Linked DNA regions of Oryctolagus cuniculus. Each later gene encodes a partner of the first gene's protein in a complex. Links are inferred from orthologs where the notes say so. Each region holds a gene or a part of one and is shown in the gene's direction. Other genes may lie near its edges.

Region 1 (4,439 bases):
GAGAGGGTAGGTGCCCTGCTCTGGCCGCCCAGCAGGAAAGAGGTGGGTTCCCGGGTGAAGGTTGCTCTGTGCCTCCTCGGCTTCCCTGGGGTAGGAGGGAGTTGGGGGGAACCCCCACCCCAAGGCAGCCAGGTCTCTGTGGGAGGGCGTGGGTTGGGGTGCAGCCCCCAGCCGCTCACCTCCAGGGGGGTTTAATTGCAGACAGACTGCTTTGTCAAGGTATTAAAGTGCAGAACTTAGAGGTGCCGGGGCTCTTCTAGAGGGGGGCCAAGGAATGGGGAAGGAGGGGACAGTGGGGTGGGAGCACCTCCCCCTTCCTGGTCAGACACCCCCGGCCCTGGGTGCGGGCTGCAGCTGGCCGCCTGGTGCTCCGGTGCGGGCTGGGTCCCAGCCTCTTCCTTCCTCTCGACAGGAAGTGAGTCTCCCTCCCTTTGTTCCCACTTTCTCCGCTTACCCGACTGCATCTGGGATTTGCCCTCCAAGGGAGGGGGGCAGAGGGTCCCCGGGGCGGGGCATGGCGGCTGCCCCGGGGCAAGGGGAGCCGGGCACCCCAGCAGGGCTGGACTCTGATTCCCTGTGAAATCCCCACCCAGCCCCTTCCCCTGGGGCCTGAGGTCCCTGCTGGGAGGATTGGGGGCGGAGGCTGCCCAGCTGTGGCCATCTGGTGTCAGCCCTGGACGTTTCCGAAAAACTGGATAGATCCAGCTTCCCGGAGGAGTGAGGCAGGGGTCAGGGCAGGCTGGGGAGGGGCCGGGGGTGGGGGCGTCCTGAGGTTTGCAGCTTCTGGGGGCGCGGTCCCGGCTGCCTCAGGTGTGAGGACAGCCCTGGACCTGCCGGCTGGGGACGCTCCCCGAGAGTTCTGTGTCTGCCCCGGGCGGGGCGGGGCCGGGCGGGGGGGGCGGGGTCTCTACTCTGGGGGTAGGGGGAGGCTCACGCAGCGTTTGTGAGGGGGGCCATCGTGGGCTGAGGCCAGGATGGGGGAGCCCTGGGGCCCACACAGCCTTGGGCTCAGTGCCTGGCCCGCAGCCATCTCGGCGGGTGCCCGCCATGCGGTTTATCTCTTCAATTCTCGCACACACCCTGAACGTCACTCGTGAAAGTGGGCTTTTGAACTGCTCACCGAGTGGCGGGTGGCGGCCAGGGAGGCTGCCTCCCCACGCACCGGTTTCTAACCAGGAGGCTGAGCGTTTTAACTCAGTGTAGCAGCCAGTTGAGGAGGGATTCCGAGTGCGTGTGATTTGTCTCCGGCAGTCCTAGAGGGAGCCCGCGGTGGCCGGTGCACTTGGAGATGGGGAGGGGACTCTGTGCACCCTGTGCACGGTCACCCCAGCTCCCAGGGCACCACTGGGTCTCTCCGGGGGCCCCCAGCCCAGCTCAACCCAGCCAGCCCCATTTCTGGGGGTCCGATGGCTGTCTCCTTGTCTGCCCTCTGCCTCGTATGCTTGTGGCCTGGGCCTGACAGTCCTGGCGAGGTGGCCCGGGCAGCACAACAGCAGAGAGGGAGAGATAAGGGGCAATTTTTAGCCTCGTGCCCAGGGAGGATGCCTGTGCCCTGCCCCCCCCCCCCCCCGCCCCGTGGACACACACGTTGTCTGCCGAGTGGCCTTAGAGATGGAAAACGGCTTCCACCCGGCACCTGTCCCCATATCTATACCTGGATGGCTACCCCCAGCCACACTCAGGGTGCAGTCGAGTATCTGCAGGGGGTCGGATGGGTGATTGCGAGCCAGCTAGTCCTGTGACGGGGCTGTCACCTCCCTGTGGAAGCAGACAGGGCCTCAGGGAGAGGGCCAGGAATCAGGGAAGGCTTCCTGGAGGAGGTGATGCTCGCTCGAGCAGAATTTCACCCTGTGGGTGGCAGCGGAGGGAGACCAGGTGGGAGGAGCAGGTCAGAAGGGAAGCCGTGGAGGGTGGATGAGTGATCCAGGGTGGACCCAAAGAGGGAGAATTAGGACTTTCTCCTGAGGAGGTGGGAGCCATGGAAGGCTTTTGAGCAGTGGAAAAACAGACTTATGCTCCAGAAAGATCAAGGTCAGGAGGTGAGATTGGAGACCGCTGAGCCCCCTCCTGGGCTCTCCCCAACACTGCCCGGGCCTGAAGCACACCTCGCTTTTGGAGAGGCAGAGAAATGGATGCTGGCCTGCCGGGTGGGCCGAGAGGGCAGAACAGAGCCAGATGGCGCCGGGGGCCCAGGCCCTGAGTTCTAATCCCGGCTCTGCCACTGTGAGCCCTTGGACAAGTGGCTTTACCCCTGAGGTCTCCCAGGTTCCCCTTGGTGGGATGGGAGTAGCAGGTGCCCACCTCTCACGGCAGGAGGGCGGTGTGGGCACAGAGGGGGTGTGGGCATGACGTGCTCACCGTCCTGTCCTCTCCCTCCCGCAGCAGAGCTGGCCTGAGCCTCAGGGACTTCTTCCCCCGAGAGAATCCGGATCCCTTCCTGGGAGGTGACTGATCCAGGCAGGAAGCTTACTCATCCGAGGTGAGCCCGCCAGGGCTGGGGGAGGGGCAGTCAGCAGCCTGTGGCAGGGTCACCTGGTGGGCCCCTGCCCTCCCCCACAGGGCCTCGCCCACCCCCTCCGGCATGTGGGCGGGGCGGGGCTGTTCTGTCTTGCCTTGGGGAGGTGTGCAGGGCGGGGCTGTTTCCTTTTGCATCCTGGGGGAGAGCAAGCCTGCACCACCGGGACCTTGCACTCTGTCCTCGCCCTGCCAGGACCTGAAGCCATGGCCTCAAAGCCCGAGAAGAGGGTCGCCTCCTCCATCTTTATCACCCTGGCACCCCCACGCCGCCACGTGGCCGTGGCCGAGGAAGTGAGGCAGGCGGCTTGTGAGGCCCGGCGTGGCCGCCCCTGGGAGACCCCTGGGAAGGCCCCCGCTGGGAGGCCCAGCCCCTTCAGCCCCGCTCAGCTCTCCAACGGAGGTAAGAGGCAGGCGGGAGGCGGGGAGGGAAGGGCAGCCCCGGGAGTCACTCACTCTTTCAGTCATTCATTCATTCATCTGAGTGCCAGACAGACCCCAGAACCACCCGCCCGGTGTGCCTTCCAGCTCCCGCATTCGCAGCCGTTGAACCTCCTGCGCCTCCGTGTCCCGATCTGTCAGAGCGTGGCTGGGAGCGAGTGTGTGTGTGAGTGGCCCGCGCCTGTCGTGCGGGGAGTGCCAGCTGTGCTCCAGCTGTTCTCGCTGTCCCGGGAGTGGAGAAGGGAGACAAGGCTTTGCGCCCGTGTGGAGGGAGCAGGGTTAATACAGAGGCAGTGTGGGCATTTGGCACGGCCAGTCGGGACCCCTGCGTCTCAGATCCAGCGTTTGGTTCAAGCCCCAGCTGCTCTGCTTCCCACCAGCTTCCTGCTGATGCGCACCCTGGGAGACAGCCGATGACAGGCCAAGTACCTGGGTCCCTGCCGCCCATGTGGGAGACCAGGCTGGAGCTCTGGGTTCCTGGCTTCAGGCTGACTCAGGCCAAGCTGTTGCAGGCATTTGGGGAGTGAACCAATGGGTGGCCAAATCTCTCTCCACTGGTCTGTCTTTCTGCCTTTCAAATAAAATGAAAAGAGAGGGAAGAGAACTGTGAACATCTGATACATGACATCAGCAGACACAGGTGCTATCGGGGTGAAACGTGGTAGAGAGGAGTGACTTTTTATGGGGTAGGCAGGGTGGCTTCCCTGAGGAGGTGACATTCCAGCTGAGACCCGTGTCCCTGGGGTCTGGGGTGGGCTGGCCCTGTGGCCTTGGTCACAGAGCCCTCCTTCCCTGTCACTCCCTGGGAAGTCTCAGCTGTTGGCTTGGCGGGCCTGAGCCCTGGGGCAAGGCACGGCTCTGCCTCGGTGTGAGGCTGACCCCAGGAAGGCAGCTGAGCCCCAGTGTCCCCGGGCACCTGGACAGATGTCCTTCCGTCCCAGAGTAAGGCTGGAACAGTCCTCCTGTCTGTCTGTCACCGCGGAAGCCACCTGGATCCAACAGGAAATGCCGGCCAGGCCCAGAGCGAGGGCCAGCAAGCGCAGAGGGGACTCGAGGGACAGAAGCTCTGGGCCCATCTTTCCTTCCTCACCTCCCACCTCAAGGGCCCCGGCCCTCCAGCACTTCTGGAGGGGAACAGGACCGGGCCGGCCAGGATGCCAGGATGAGTGATCTGATAGGAAAAAATGGGCCCCATCTCGGAGGCTGAGGGAGGCTAGGAAATGTGGCTGAGATGCCAACAGGTGCAGCCCCTCGGAGGCTTTCCTGGGCCCTTGGAATTACCGTGTGTGATGAAGTCAGACTTTCCCGAGGGGGGTGCTGGCTGCTGTTTCCGCTGTCATCCGGGCACTCTCAGGCAGAGCGCGGGTAGTTACGGCCTCACTGGACAAGCACAGTTCCCGGTGAGCTGCTCGAGGCCGTCCCTATAGCAGCTGCTTTAGCTTTCCAGCCTGGAAGAAGCCCCACCTTGCTGGCGCTGCGGCTGG
Region 2 (5,181 bases), on another chromosome or scaffold:
CTCCCACCTTAGCAGTGGCCAAGGACAGACTGGGGGCCTCGGATCATGCCCACAAGGTAGCGCCAGGAGCCAGTAGGGCTTGTAAAGGGACCATCAGCTACGAGGGACCCCACTCCCCACCCCCCTGCCTTCTTCCAGCAGCTCAGAGAAGAATCCAGCCCTGCTCAGACCCCTACCTCAGTCTCCATATCAGGGCTTCAGAGACAACTCTGCTGGACTCCGAGCCCCCGGCACCTCGGGCCGCCAGCCAGGAGTCTGCCTCTCCACACACAGGGGCAGGGGTGGGGCCTCTCTCCACTGGAGAGCTCAGCCTCCCAGCTGGATACACTGGTGCCTCTTGGGTGATCTTGGCCATGGGACGGAGATGGCTGGGGTGGGGGTGGGGAGCAAGAGGAGGGTTCTGGAGCTGGGAGCAAGGGGTTGCCAGAGGGAGAGTAGAATTCCTGAGTACCTCGTCACTGGCAGCGACAGAACATGAGCTGCAGGGCCCAAGCTATTTATACCTCGCCTGTCACTATCAGGGCCCCCAGAGCCCCCCTCCCTCCCAGCCACGCACAGCAGGCCCCTTTCCCGTTTCTGGTCCCTTCTCTCCTCCTCCCCCTCCCTCCCTAAGGGCCAGGCAATCTCATTACACAAGAAGGGAAAGAGAAGGAGACAACTCTGTCGCCCTAAGCACTGCTGCCCCCTCCCCAGTTCCTTCTCCACGATGAGCACCGTCCTCATTCTGCCCTTGGGAGAGGGTCCCCCCAAAGATGCCCTCTGTCCGCTCCCTTCTCACCAAGCCTAAGGTAGAATGGATCATCTCCAAGGGCCCAGGACCTTCCCAACCCCCAGTTATCACACAGCTAGAGGCATGGCCTCCCATCCAGCTAAGCCTGCAGAGTCTAGAAGGCTCGGAGGGTGAGGTGGCAAGGCCCGCGTCGGGACATGTACGCTACCCAGCTGTACAATACACGTGCCCTTTATAATAGTAGATTCCATAGCTCTTTCTCCTCATCCCAGGCAGCTCCTCTGGCTGTGTGCCTCAGTTTCCCTACTGGGGCCATTGGCCAAGCCTCCCACAGCCCTTGGCTGAGCCCAGTCCTGCCTGGGCACAGGGCCGGCCTCCCTGGGGCTGTCCCTGACCGGGCTTGGGCCCTGGCTCCGCCCACCCAGTCACAGTTCCTGGGGCTCTCCCAGCTTCGGCCTGTCTGGGCAGCCCACCCTTTCCCTGGGAGGACCTGCACGTGGCCCAGGGGGCTCCCTGGCACCACAGGGGCCGTGCCCCCCTCCTTTCTCCTCACCTCGGTTGAGTCAGACTTGGGGGAGAGGGGGCACACTCGGTGTGACTCACTGGGTGTCTTTCCCGGAGCTGGGCTTCACTCTGAGGCCATAAGTCCAAACGGGCTGGTGACAGGGACACTGAGTCAGGGGCAGAACCTGGATCCTCCCCCAGGACCCTGGGTTTGGGCTCCAAAAACTGCTTTTCTACTAGTTAACTGGAGCCACGGGGGTGGCGGGCAGGGGGAGGCACGCCCCCAAGCCTGCAGCTCTGCTTCCTCTCAGGCCAGCTCTGCACAAGCACCCACACTTCCCTTCCCAGTCCACAGGTGGACAATACCCCGGGCCAGCAGCCAGGACTCCCAGGCCCTGTCAACAGCCCTGCCACCAACGGGTCCAGAAAATTCTGTCAACGCCATCACATCAGTGCGCTCAGCCCTCACCCCTGGCCTCAGTTTCCCCTCGTACCTCTTCAGTCCCCGCGGGGGCCTTTCAGGCCCGACCTACGGTGCGGCCCCGGGGGGCGTCGCGCGCGGGTGGGGCGCTGTCGCCCCGCCCCCGCCCGCCCGTCTGTCAGTCCGCCCGCGCGGCCCGGGCCGAGGGGCGGCGCGCGGGGGAGGGGCGCGCGGGGGCGGGGCCGCGGGGCGCGCGCGGCCCCCACCGCGGCCCGGGCGGCATTCCTGGGAGGCCGGCGCTCTGACGTGGAGCGGGGGCCGCGGGCTTCTTAAACCCCCCGGCCCGGCCCGGCCCGCACTTCCCCAGCACCGCTCCGCCCCCGGAGGGAGAGAGCTAGAGAGAGCGGCCCCGAGCAGCCGAGGAGGCCCGCCGAGAACTTGGAGAGGAGCTTAGCGCCCGACAGCGCCCCGACAGCGCACCCCAGCCAGCCAGCATGATGAACAACAGCAGTTACGCGGATCCCGCCGGCTTCGGCCTGGGCGACGAGGCGGACGAGATGCCGTCCACTGAGAAGGACCTGGCGGAGGACGCGCCGTGGAAAAAGATCCAGCAGAACACGTTCACGCGCTGGTGCAACGAGCACCTCAAGTGCGTGGGCAAGCGGCTGACCGACCTGCAGCGCGACCTCAGCGACGGGCTGCGGCTCATCGCGCTGCTGGAGGTGCTCAGCCAGAAGCGCATGTACCGCAAGTTCCACCCGCGCCCCAATTTCCGCCAGATGAAGCTGGAGAATGTGTCCGTGGCCCTCGAGTTCCTGGAGCGCGAGCACATCAAGCTCGTGTCCATCGGTCAGTGCGGGGGCACAGGCGCAGGGGGAGGGGCTGTCCCGGGGGCCGGGGACGCGGGTGCTGGCCGCCGGGACAGGGCACTGGGGGGCAGCTGGGGGCGGCCCCGACCGGCGGGCACTGCCTCCACAGCGCTCTCGGGGTGTCCCTGGGGGTCCAGACCTCACCTCAGCTGAGTGCACAGCTCGCAAGCGCCCCATGCGCACCCTTGCCCGCTTCCCTTCCCTGGGGGCAGCCCCGCCCACGCAGGAGAGAGCATGGGGCCGGGGCCCGGGGCTGAGCCCTGGGGGCGTCCCTCCTCAACAAAGCAAATGGCTTCCTAGTTTGCCAGGTCCTCCGCACGGGAGGAGCTGGCTCGGGACAGGTCCCCACCACGTCTGGGAGAGCCGCGGGAGGCCCCCCGCACGCCAGGGCTCAGCGCTCGGTGCTCAGCGGCTGGGCTCCGGCCTCAGAAACCTAAAAAGGCCTGGAGCGAGGGCTGGGAGCCTTAACCCCTGCCTGCCCTCCCCGGACTGCAGCCTGCCGGGGAGGGGGCTCCTGCCCGTCCAGCCCACCCCGAAGCCAGGGATTGGCTGCCCTGGCGGTCGGCTGCCGGGCGGAGGGGAGGGCCCGTGGAAGGGAGGAAGTCACTGAGTGTAACCAGATTTGGAAGGTGTGTCGGTGGGGGTGGGGGTGGGGGTGGGGAGACGCTCTAGGCCGGGAAGCCCCACAGCCCGGCGTGGGTTCTGAGTGGCCAGCGGCCGCCCGTCTCCTCGGCCCGGCATGGGCTGGGCAGGCCCTGCTCCTGTGACCCTCTCTTAAGAGCCCTGCTGTGATTGACAGCAAAGGGCACAGCCCAGGGCTCCAGGAGGGGAGTTTCACGTGGGGCCAGGTGGCCCCCCCCCACAGGCTGCCCCAAAGATTTCTCCAGAGAAGTGGGCGTCTGGCCACCCCCACTCTCCCAGCAGGGCCATCTCTGGGCCTCCGGAATTAGCAGCTGAGGTCAGCTCGGGGCCTTTCGCCTTGTGTCCAGTCCCCTCCCTAGGCCTTACCTCGTCCTGTCCCAATACTGCCCCCCCCCCAGCCGCCTGCACTGGCCTGGAAATAGCCCTGTCTCCGTGACACAGCAGATGTCTCTGAGCTTTCCCGAAGGACAAGCCCGAGGGCAGGGGTGGGGGTGGGGCTGAGGGCAGCGACAGGAGGGGCAGGCACCCCCTGCACGCTAGCATCCAAAGGCTGGACTGAGGATCCCAGGTGGGGTCTCTGGGGGACAGCCAGAGGCCTCCTCCAAGCCAAGCGTTTTAGCAAACTGCTCCGCCTTCCCTCCCTGCCGACTGCGGGGGCTGCAGCCCCTCTCTGGGCCTCATCCTACCCCCCCCCACCCCCCTGCACCTCTCCCCTCCCCCACGGCGGAGCCTCCAGCCCCCTTGGCTCAGCAGTAGAGGGGCCAGCCCGGAGATGAGGGGGAAGAAGCCAGTGCTGCTTTGGGGGTGGGAGGGAGGCTCCCTGGGCTCCTCCAGGGAGAGGAAGGGGAGCCGGCCCCATTTGGGCCAAGTGGCTGGCTCCCTGGTGAGATAAGCTGTCAGCAGTTCAGCCGCTGGCGCTGGCCCGGGCCAGGCTGCAGGGAGGGGCAGTGGCCAACTGCCCACAGGAGGGGTGTGTGGCGGCCTGTAACTCCCCCTGCCCCAATGAGTGGTGGGAAGGGGCTGCCTCCCCCTACCCCCTGCCTTGTCTCAGGACTGATATCAAGCCTCTGGACACCTGGGAGGGGGTCAAAAAGACCCCCCCCCTTCTCTTGGCCTGGGAAGGGCAGTCAGGCGAGGGAGCAGCTGGAAACTGCGAGGTCCACCTGTAGGACTGGGTTAAAAGAGCCGCGTGCCCTTCTTTCCCCCCAAGCCCTGTGCAGGCCCCCTCTGCCCCCTCAGCCCCTCCGAACAAAGAGGCCTAGCAGCAGCTCTGTCCCGCAGCTGTTCCGCAGTTGCTATTCCTCCTCCTGGAGCCAACAGCCGAGGGAGGGGCCGGAGGGGGCAGCAGCTGTCCCAGCACCTCCCTCAGCCCAGCCTCCTCCCCTCTACTTGAAGCCTGGGGTGGCCTCTGGGGCTGGCTCTCCGGCCCCTCCCACTCCTTTGGGGGTATCCCCAGGCCAGCGGAGAAATGGTGGCTTGAGGTTTATCACCAGGGAAGAAGCTGGGGTTGAGCTCCTCTCGCCTGCCTGGCCTCTGAAGGGAAGGAGGAGGAGGAGGAGGAAGGTCACTGCTCCCAGAGTGGAGCTCTGGGCCCTGGCCTGCCGGCCAGTCTGCTGCCCCAAAGCCAGGACCACTTGCTGTCTGGCCCTGGGCCAGTTGCTGGGGAGCGAGCCCTGTCTCCAGCAAATATGAATGACACCCCCGAACCACCGACCCCGGCAGCCTCACGGGCTCCCTCCCAGGGTTCCGAGAAGCCCTTCTGGGTGCGTGAGCCTCAGCTGGGGAGGCTGTCAGGGGCGGGCCCCAGGTCACAGCTCGTGTGAAAGTGCCGTGGACCTGTGTGTGTGTGTGTGCGTGTGTGACAGAGAGCGAAAGCAGCAAGCACCGGGAGGCCGGCCGTGAGTGTGTCATGGAATCCGGGAGCTGCCAAACCATTGTGCTGCAGTGGAGCCAGGGGAAAGGGGTGGGCTGGGGCGCAGCTGGGGAAGGAAGGATGAATCAGGACGGGGTGTGTG

What was found. The genes of interacting proteins can lie anywhere in the genome.
Region 2: the proteins of FBLIM1 (region 1) and FLNC are in contact, whole or in part, in an NMR structure (PDB 2K9U), measured with the Homo sapiens proteins. The link is inferred for Oryctolagus cuniculus from reciprocal best matches to the Homo sapiens genes FBLIM1 and FLNC. Residues at the interface, in NP_001337080.1 of Homo sapiens: Arg8, Val9, Ala10, Ser11, Ser12, Val13, Phe14, Ile15, Thr16, Leu17, Pro19; in NP_001449.3 of Homo sapiens: Thr2339, Ala2344, Gly2345, Gly2346, Leu2347, Ser2348, Ile2349, Ala2350, Val2351, Glu2352, Gly2353, Pro2354, Ser2355, Lys2356, Ile2359, Phe2361, Asp2380, Glu2382, Phe2387.

The regions. Positions count from the first base shown.
Region 1 is NC_091438.1:153,864,763-153,869,201, reverse strand, and holds part of FBLIM1 (filamin-binding LIM protein 1), read left to right. Parts: intron 1-2,382; 5' UTR 2,383-2,479; intron 2,480-2,710; 5' UTR 2,711-2,721; coding exon 2,722-2,917; intron 2,918-4,439. UniProt on the Homo sapiens protein: Serves as an anchoring site for cell-ECM adhesion proteins and filamin-containing actin filaments. Is implicated in cell shape modulation (spreading) and motility.
Region 2 is NC_091434.1:165,025,403-165,030,583, forward strand, and holds the start of FLNC (filamin-C), read left to right. Parts: upstream 1-1,892; 5' UTR 1,893-2,149; coding exon 2,150-2,504; intron 2,505-5,181.